Elephas maximus indicus: one gene and its partner. The protein of the gene in region 2 interacts with the protein of the main gene of each other region in a biochemical or structural test. Links are inferred from orthologs where the notes say so. Each region holds a gene or a part of one and is shown on either strand. Other genes may lie near its edges.

Region 1 (3,901 bases), on a different chromosome or scaffold from region 2:
CCAGAAAGAAAATAAACAAATAAGTCAACTCTTACAGCCATGTATGGGGCTGGGTGGGAAACGGCAAGGCAAGCCCTGCTGGTGGGGACAGAGAGAGAGCCTCCCAGCCAGGTGGTAGACACAGCCCTGATAAACAAGCTCGCTGTCAGCTCTGTGGAATTTTATGGTTTCTCAGAGGGCCTGGGGACATCTACTACATCCCCTTCCCCAGACGCCTGCGTCATTACTGGTCACAGTCCACGTCTTCCCCAGGGCATCTATCCTGGCTCCTAATGTATTAATGGCATCCCATTGTCCAGCCTTAATTCCTTTCTCTGAATCTCAAACTTTTGCCCCCAGCTGCACCCTGCAGCCCTTGGCAACCTGACCCATTCATGGACTTCCTTACTCACCAGACCTGTTCACAGAGTACTTCACACACTGCTGGGTCTACACCTATCAGATGAGGTGAGTTTGGCAAGCAACCAATAAGAGGTTCAGGGAGTGTACTTTCTAGGTGTGAAAAACAGGACCTGACCCTCCTGGCCTGGTAAGTCCCCGCTCCTCATAACCAGAGCCTTGCTGCTCCCACCAGACCAAGCTGTTGGGCTTTTCAGACCATGAGGCATCACCCTCCACCCAGGACAGACTGCATCTGCTGCCACACCACCAACTTTGTAATTTGATCAAAAAAAGCAATCAAGTTCATCTGGCAGGATTTGTTCCCAAGAAGCCCTCGCCAGTAGCAGCCTCCCCTGATGTTTACTGATTTCCTTCCCTTGGGAGTCTGTTCCACCGCCTGGTGGGCACGGGGAGGCTGGATTTGTCAGAGCTGCTCACTTACTGCACTTCCATCCTAAGTCACCACTGCGGCCTAGGGATTAGGATAGGCCTGGCGTGGCTACCACGGCCCCAAAGAGGTAGGCTCCAACTGCCCCAAATCAAGAGCTCGCCATTCTGTGCCATCTACCATCCTCCACATCCCTCACCTCCCCCCTAAGGACCAAACTCCCTTAAGCGTTTGGGGACCACTCCTCCCTGCAGCCATCTACATCTCTTACATCCCCTTCATTCTTTTCTATTTGAGCACTTCCAGTTCCCAGTGCCACTCCTTGTCTGGCTCCAAAATCCACCCACCCTGAAATTCCAACTCTCTTCCAAGTAGTAAAACACATAACCCCCAACTCCTGGAGCATCTTCAGATGAAGCCAAGGCCCTTGGAGCCACCCCCAGGGAGAGACCAAGATGGGGAACACTCACCCCGTGCAGATAACTTCTTGGTATTGATGATTTTTGCTGCGTATTCCTGCGTGGAGGTTTTCTTCACACACCTGCGGACCACAGAGAAAGCACCCCTGGAGGGAAAAGGGGGAAAGAACTGGGACACAGCGCAGGGCAGAGTGACACAGGCGCAACCGTGGTCTGAGGAAGCCATGCTCCCATCGCCAGACACCCCCCCCCCCCCGCCAGGGTAGTGACCACCACCCTCTGACATCAGGCAGAAGGATGTGGCCACTGCATGACCCTGAACAGGCCAGGGGTGGAGTGCCACCCCACTGCCACCCCCTCATCCAGCCCCTGGGAAAAGCCAGGACAGGCTGCTCATCAGGAGTTGGTGGGCGATGCTTTCAAACACACACCTGCTGCATCTCACTGATAGCCCTGCGGACGGCCAAGAGACCAGGAGAGGAAAGGGAACAGAGAGCCCCTGCCCTTCCTCAGTAGGAACAGATGGTGGTAGGGGAAGAGAGATGAGAAAGAGGGCATACCCCCCTGAGAGAAATCTCCCTCAGCCACGGACGAGGGTGAAGAAAGTGAGGCTCAAACCCCCACAACGGGCTTCAACCAACTGCATCCCGGTTCAACCGACAGCAGGGAAGGAGACCATACAGTTTTGGGGCTCAGGCACCGGCGGCTCCCCTTCCCCACAGTATTTTCCTCTACGTCCCCCCCTCCCCCGCCCCTCCATGAGAGTTCGCACTCTCCAGCTCTGGAAGCGTCCAGGGGGCGGGCAGGGCGGGGGCTGCAGTGGCCGGGCTCGGCGCCGCGGGGGGGGGGGGCCGGGGCTGCTGCAGCGGCCAGCTCAGTGCGGAGGGGAGGGGGATGCTGCGGCTGCGGCGCGCGGCGCCCGGGACCACTGCAGGGATGGGGGGAGGGGACGGGGTGCTGCAGCACTGCCCAGCAGCCGGGCTGGGATCCTGGAAGCGGCACGAGCGGGGGGCGGGGCCGGCACCAAACATCCCCCCCGCACCCGGGCACCGCAGCGAGGTTGGAGCTGCAGGGCTGGGGAGGGTCTTGAGCGTCAGGCGCGTGGGACACGGGAACAGGATGCAGAGTGCGCTCCTGAGCAGAGTGAGGAGGGGGCGACAAGCAGGTGGGGTCCGGAGGGGGGCCCCTAAGGGTGCAGGAGGGGCGGGGCTGGAGGGCGCCGAGAGCGGTCCAGAGGCTGCAGTCCCCGCGGCAACGCGGGGTGCAGCAGCTTGGGCAGCTGCTGCAGGGCGCGGAGGGGGCTGCGCGGCAGGGAGCCGGGGGCGAGGGCGCCCCGGAGGCGGCGGGCGGGAAAAGCTGGGGGTGGGGCGGGCCGAGGGGGCGCTGCAGCGGCCGGTGCAGGGCCGGGGGGCGGGGCGAGGAGCCGCAGAGCGCCCGGGCGGCGGGGGCCGGGTGGGGGGCCGCGGCGGGGGGCGCGCGGGCCGTACTTGCCGAGCTCCTCGAAGAGCTGGTAGTCGTCGGTGAAGCGGGTGCAGGTGGCAGTGGTGGCCATGCTGGCGGGCGGACGCGGCGCCGCAGCCCGCGCCGACGTCGGTGCACAGTCACCGCCGCCCGGCCGAGGGAGCGAGAGGAGGAGACGGGGCTGAGCCCGGCAGCACCGCGAGACTTTACCGGGGAGAGCGAGGAGGGAGGGACACCCCCGCGCCGGCCCGCCCGCCCCGCCCCCAGCCCGCCGGCCCCCCTCCCGGCCCCGGACCGCCTCCGGGGAGGGGCCTCCGCCGCCGGCCCCGCCTCGCCCCGGGAGCCGCCCGGGCCCGGCCCGGCGCGCCGGAGAGCTCCGAGGTGGGGGTCCGGGTCCCCGGCCACCCGCCCGGGCGGAGGGAACTGGAAGGTTCGCGACCTGTGGGCTCGTCCTGAGCGAAAACTGCAAGGGCTCGGGACTGTGCGCGCGAGGGTGGCATGCGTTGGGGGGTAGGTGGCTAGGTCAACGAGATCTCCTGAGCGGGACCCACACACGGGGTCCTAAGCCCCCAGCCTGGCTCACAGGATGAGCAGAAGGGGCCAAGGTTAAAGAGCCTGTGTCAAGCTGCGCACGTGGGAGGCGCCCCCAGACTGTGGAGATCCAGCTCCCAGCAGCCTTCCCTTGGGGAGCTGACAGTCTAGACTTGAGCAAGCTTCAGGGCCATTATTGGAAGAAACTCTTCAGGCACGGTTTGATCAGGGAGACCAGGCCAGGGGCAAGGGTGCAGGTGGAACTGTGCTTCTCTGCCCTCCAACCTTAGAGATGAGAGAACGTTCTCTCTCAGGCCCATAATAAAAGAAATGAAGTGGGAGAGATTATAAAAGGATTTGTGCATTGGAACTCGAAGAGCAAGTACAAGGAAGGAGAAAGCATCCTCATTTTCTTGCAGAGCAAGCTGTACTTTCATTTTATGTCACTTACCACATTTTGTAATTATATATTCATTTATTTTTTTCTTTTACCACATTTTGTAATTATATATTCATTGATATGAGGGGCAGCAGCGCTAGAACGTAGCTGTTGTAAGCTTTAACTTTGCAGTCAGACTGCTTGACTTAGAACTCTGGGCTGCTCACTGACCAGTTGTGTGACCTAAGGCAAGTCACTTAATCTTCTGCCTCAGTTGCCTTATCTGAAAGCTGGGAATAATCTTATGTACCTCATAGGGTTGTGAGCATTAAATGGGCTAAA
Region 2 (3,901 bases):
TGTCCCCTGCCATACTTGTCATAAACTTCAGAGTCTGGCAGGTCCCCATCAGGAAGCACTTCACAGTCTGTCTGCCTCTAATCCTCATACAGCTCAGAGATGAACAGGGGGGAATAGGTCGTGGGCATCTGGAGGCTGGGAGGGAGAGAAAACCAGCAGGCTGGAGGCAGAGCCAGGATTAAAAACCAAGCCTCCCCATTGCATCCCCCCCCCGCCCCCAGCCCCAGCTCATGGTCCCAGTCCCTACCCTAGATCTAAGGGGAGTGAGCTCTGGGCAGTGGTGGCACCAAGTGGTAGCTGAGACACCCTCCCCCCGGCCCCTCCACCTTGACCACACTCTGCCACTATGCCTCTCCTGGGTGAGAGTCTGAACCTCCAGGCCCTGGACAGCGGACCCAGCCTGGAGCTAGAGGGAAGGAGGGAGTCATTGAAGACTGAAGTGGCTGGATCTAGCCCTGACCCTGGTCCAGCCTCAGCCCTATCTGCTCCTGTTGGCATCTGGCTCCTGCCTCCCTGGATTTCCCCAACTCTGGGCAACCTCCAGCCCAGAAGCAGAACGACCAGGGGCAGGGCCAGGTATTTTTAGCAGAGTTGCAGGAAGCTCCTTGGGGGGTCGTGGGGGTGGGGTGGAGACTGAGTTCATCCTTTCCCTTCACTGGTGTCCCTTCCTCAGAACTCAAGCAGGTACCTCTACCTGCAACACACTGCCAGGTGACCTCCCTCATCCCCTCCAAATAGCCCTCCAAGGGCCCCCTGGGGCTCATGGGGTAACACCAACCCTCACCCCAAGGGTAAGCTCAGCAGGGACAATCTTCAATTCCTCAGGAGGAGGAGGGGGTGGGAAGACAGGTGTTGAGGCTAGATGCCAGGATTTAGGACCCCTACTTTAGGTCTGGGTGGGCGGGCAGTGGGTGTCATGGGCAGAGAAGGGTGAAGTCTTCAGCCCGTAACTCAACTCTTCCACTCCCCTAGGACTTGGGAAACAGGCCAGGCTTGGGGGAGGGGGAAGGGAGAATTCACTCTTAAAGGACCAGGCCTAAATCTTCCCCAGTGGGGAGTTACCGCCCTTGGCTGGTCCCATAGTCTCTCCACCACACGGTGCTTCCCCCCCCACTCAAATCTTCACAGCCTCCCTGTTCCATTTACACACTTCCTCCTTCCCCTTTCTCCTCCCCTTCCTCACTCCCTCCTTTCCCCCACCCCACTCAGACCCCAGCGTCTGCGGGGCCCTAGTATTGCTAGGCAGCAGCTCACCCCTGGTTGGGGGGCGGGGTCTTGGTGGGTTTGAGGTCCTAGACCGAGGGTGGGGATTCCCCTGGGGTGGGGGTGGATAGACACGTCAGCCCCCGTCCGCCCCCGCATGAGTGCGGACCGGGGGCGAGGGCGAGGGCGGGGTAGGGCGGAGGCTTAAATAGCCGGCGCTGGAGCTGGGACCTAGCGCAGCTGAGAAGGCGGCGGCCGCAGCGGCAAGGGTCGGAGTGTCCGAGTCCGGGGCTGCGAGCGGGTTGTGTCCGAGCCCAGGTCCGAGTCCTGACCGCGTGTGCGACTGGGTGAGTGTCCCGCAGAAGCCGGGGGAGCGGTGGCCGCTCCTTCTGGATTTCGGATGGATGGGCCAGGCTGGGATGGGCCACGGGTCGGGGCGCAAGATCCCTCACGGCTGGGTTGGGCCAGTGCGTCCCGGGTCAGGCCTTCCACCCCAATGACACCGCGACTCACGCGGCCATCCTGGTTCCCGGCCCCCCCCCCCCCCCCCAGAAAGCGCCGGACGCAATGACCCTGAATGGCGGCGGCAGCGGAGCAGGCGGGAGCCGCGGCGGAGGCCAGGAGCGCGAGCGCCGTCGAGGCAGCACACCCTGGGGCCCGGCGCCCCCTCTGCACCGCCGAAGCATGCCGGTGGATGAGCGCGACCTGCAGGCGGCGCTGTCTCCAGGCGCCCTAGCGGCGGCCGGGACCGAGACCCAGGGTCCAAGGCTGAACTGGCCAGAGGGCTCCTCTGACTCCCTCAGCTCGGGGGGCAGCGACTCAGACGAGAGCGTGTACAAGGTGCTGCTGCTGGGGGCGCCTGGCGTGGGCAAGAGCTCTCTGGCCCGCATCTTTGGTGGCGTAGAGGAGGGACCTGAGGCCGAGGCCGCAGGTAAAGGACTGGGCAGGTCAGGGAAGGGGAAATCCCAGGGGCAGGTCTGGGAGCCAGGGGACTGGGGACCTGGACTAAAAGTGACAAATACGTGGGAGTCCAAAGGGCTTTCAGAATCATGCCTCTCCCCACCCATTTCACAGATGGGGAAAGTAAGGGAGAAGGAACTTCAAGCCATTCATAGCAGAAGAAATTCCCAGAGTAAAGGGTGCAGTGCTCCCATATGACCTCTGTGGGATGGGGGTAAGGGTTGGGACAGGACATTCCCCGAGCCGGGGTCAGCAGGAATTCAGGCAGAGGGAATTAATTCCTAGGGGAGGAGCCCTTGGTCACTTAGGGCTCCCAGAGGAATGTGACATTCTCAATTCTAACTTAAGCCACTGTGGTCAGAGCCACTCCCGGGCCCAGACAGCAGGAGGGTAGGGAGCACTGAAACTCAGGACATTGGTAGCTTAGGGGGGAGGGTGTCTCGGTGGAGGACGAGCACACTATGCCCCCATCCCCCACTTCCCGGCCCTGTCGCTTCTGTCTACCCGCCCCCATGAATTGCCCAGGATCAGGAGACACATGGCAGCCATCTCTAAGTGGGGAGGAGAGCTGAGGGCTCTGGGGAGGAGCTGGAGGATGTGACCAAAACAGGGAGTCTGCAAGTAGACACATGAGACTATGTGGGCAACTCCTGTGTGGAGGGGAGATGGGAAGGAAGAGGGGGACAGGAGCTGGTTGAATAAAAGACAGGGGGAATACAGGGTGGAGAGGAGGGCTGTGCTGTCTCATTAGGGGGAGAGCAGCTAAGAGCACATTGCAAGGTGTGTTTAACTTTTTGTATGAGACTGACTTTGTAAACTTTCACTTAAAGCACAGTAAATAAAAAAAACAAACAAAAACAGGGAGCCTGGAACTGGGGACTTTGGGCATCCAGCAGGTAACCTGGCTACTGGTCTTCTGCTTAGGGCACACGTATGATCGCTCCATCATGGTGGATGGAGAAGAGGCCTCCCTCCTGGTCTATGACATTTGGGATCAGGTAGGATGGAGACTGAGACCCAGGGCAGGGGCTGGAGAGGTGGGCTGGGGGTAAAGGCCTGCTGGGAGAGACAGACTTGTGGCTAGGACCTGGGGACTGCTGAGCAGGACTGTATTTGTGTTTCCCAGGATGGGGACTGCTGGCTGCCTGGCCACTGCATGGCCATGGGGGATGCGTATGTCATCGTGTATTCCGTGACGGACAAGGGCAGCTTCGAGAAGGCCTCAGAGCTGCGGGTCCAGCTGCGACGGGCACGGCAGACAGATGATGTGCCCATCATCCTCGTGGGGAATAAGAGCGACCTGGTGCGCTCTCGTGAGGTCTCCGTGGATGGTGAGCAGGGAGGGGAGTGTTGGAGAGGGAGGGAGATCCTGGCTGGGCTGTGGTCCACTCAGTCTTGGCTCAGCTCAAGTCCCTGGGGATCATTAGTGGCTAAAAACATCCAGGAAGAAAGCTCGGGGTGGGAGGGACACCTGCTGCCCACCTGCAGGACTCCCAGAGACTGGGCTGAGGAAGGCCGAGTGTGACAGGGAAGGTGGATACTGTTGGGTGCTGAGTTAGGGTGCCTCGGGGCCCTCCTCTCTTACCCCCTTTGGCCCTGGCCTGACTGGTGAAGGGTGAGGGGAGTACAGGGAACCAGACCATGAGGTCAGAGCCTAGGGTTCCAGGCCTGGGCCAGTCTTGGGGTATGCTTCCCCCTGAGGAGAACCCTCTCGTCTTGGGCTCAGCACCCTCCTCTG

Evidence for each region.
Region 1: of the proteins of RRAD (region 2) and CAMK2G, one has a biochemical effect on the other in vitro, tested with the Homo sapiens proteins (2 studies listed by BioGRID, with this or other methods). The link is inferred for Elephas maximus indicus from reciprocal best matches to the Homo sapiens genes RRAD and CAMK2G.

Annotation. Positions count from the first base shown.
Region 1 is NC_064834.1:13,728,025-13,731,925, reverse strand, and holds the start of CAMK2G (calcium/calmodulin-dependent protein kinase type II subunit gamma), read right to left. Parts: upstream 2,844-3,901; 5' UTR 2,741-2,843; coding exon 2,676-2,740; intron 1,335-2,675; coding exon 1,240-1,334; intron 1-1,239.
Region 2 is NC_064839.1:33,376,410-33,380,310, reverse strand, and holds the start of RRAD (GTP-binding protein RAD), read left to right. Parts: upstream 1-1,417; 5' UTR 1,418-1,550; intron 1,551-1,755; 5' UTR 1,756-1,770; coding exon 1,771-2,134; intron 2,135-3,087; coding exon 3,088-3,161; intron 3,162-3,289; coding exon 3,290-3,494; intron 3,495-3,901. UniProt on the Homo sapiens protein: May regulate basal voltage-dependent L-type Ca(2+) currents and be required for beta-adrenergic augmentation of Ca(2+) influx in cardiomyocytes, thereby regulating increases in heart rate and contractile force.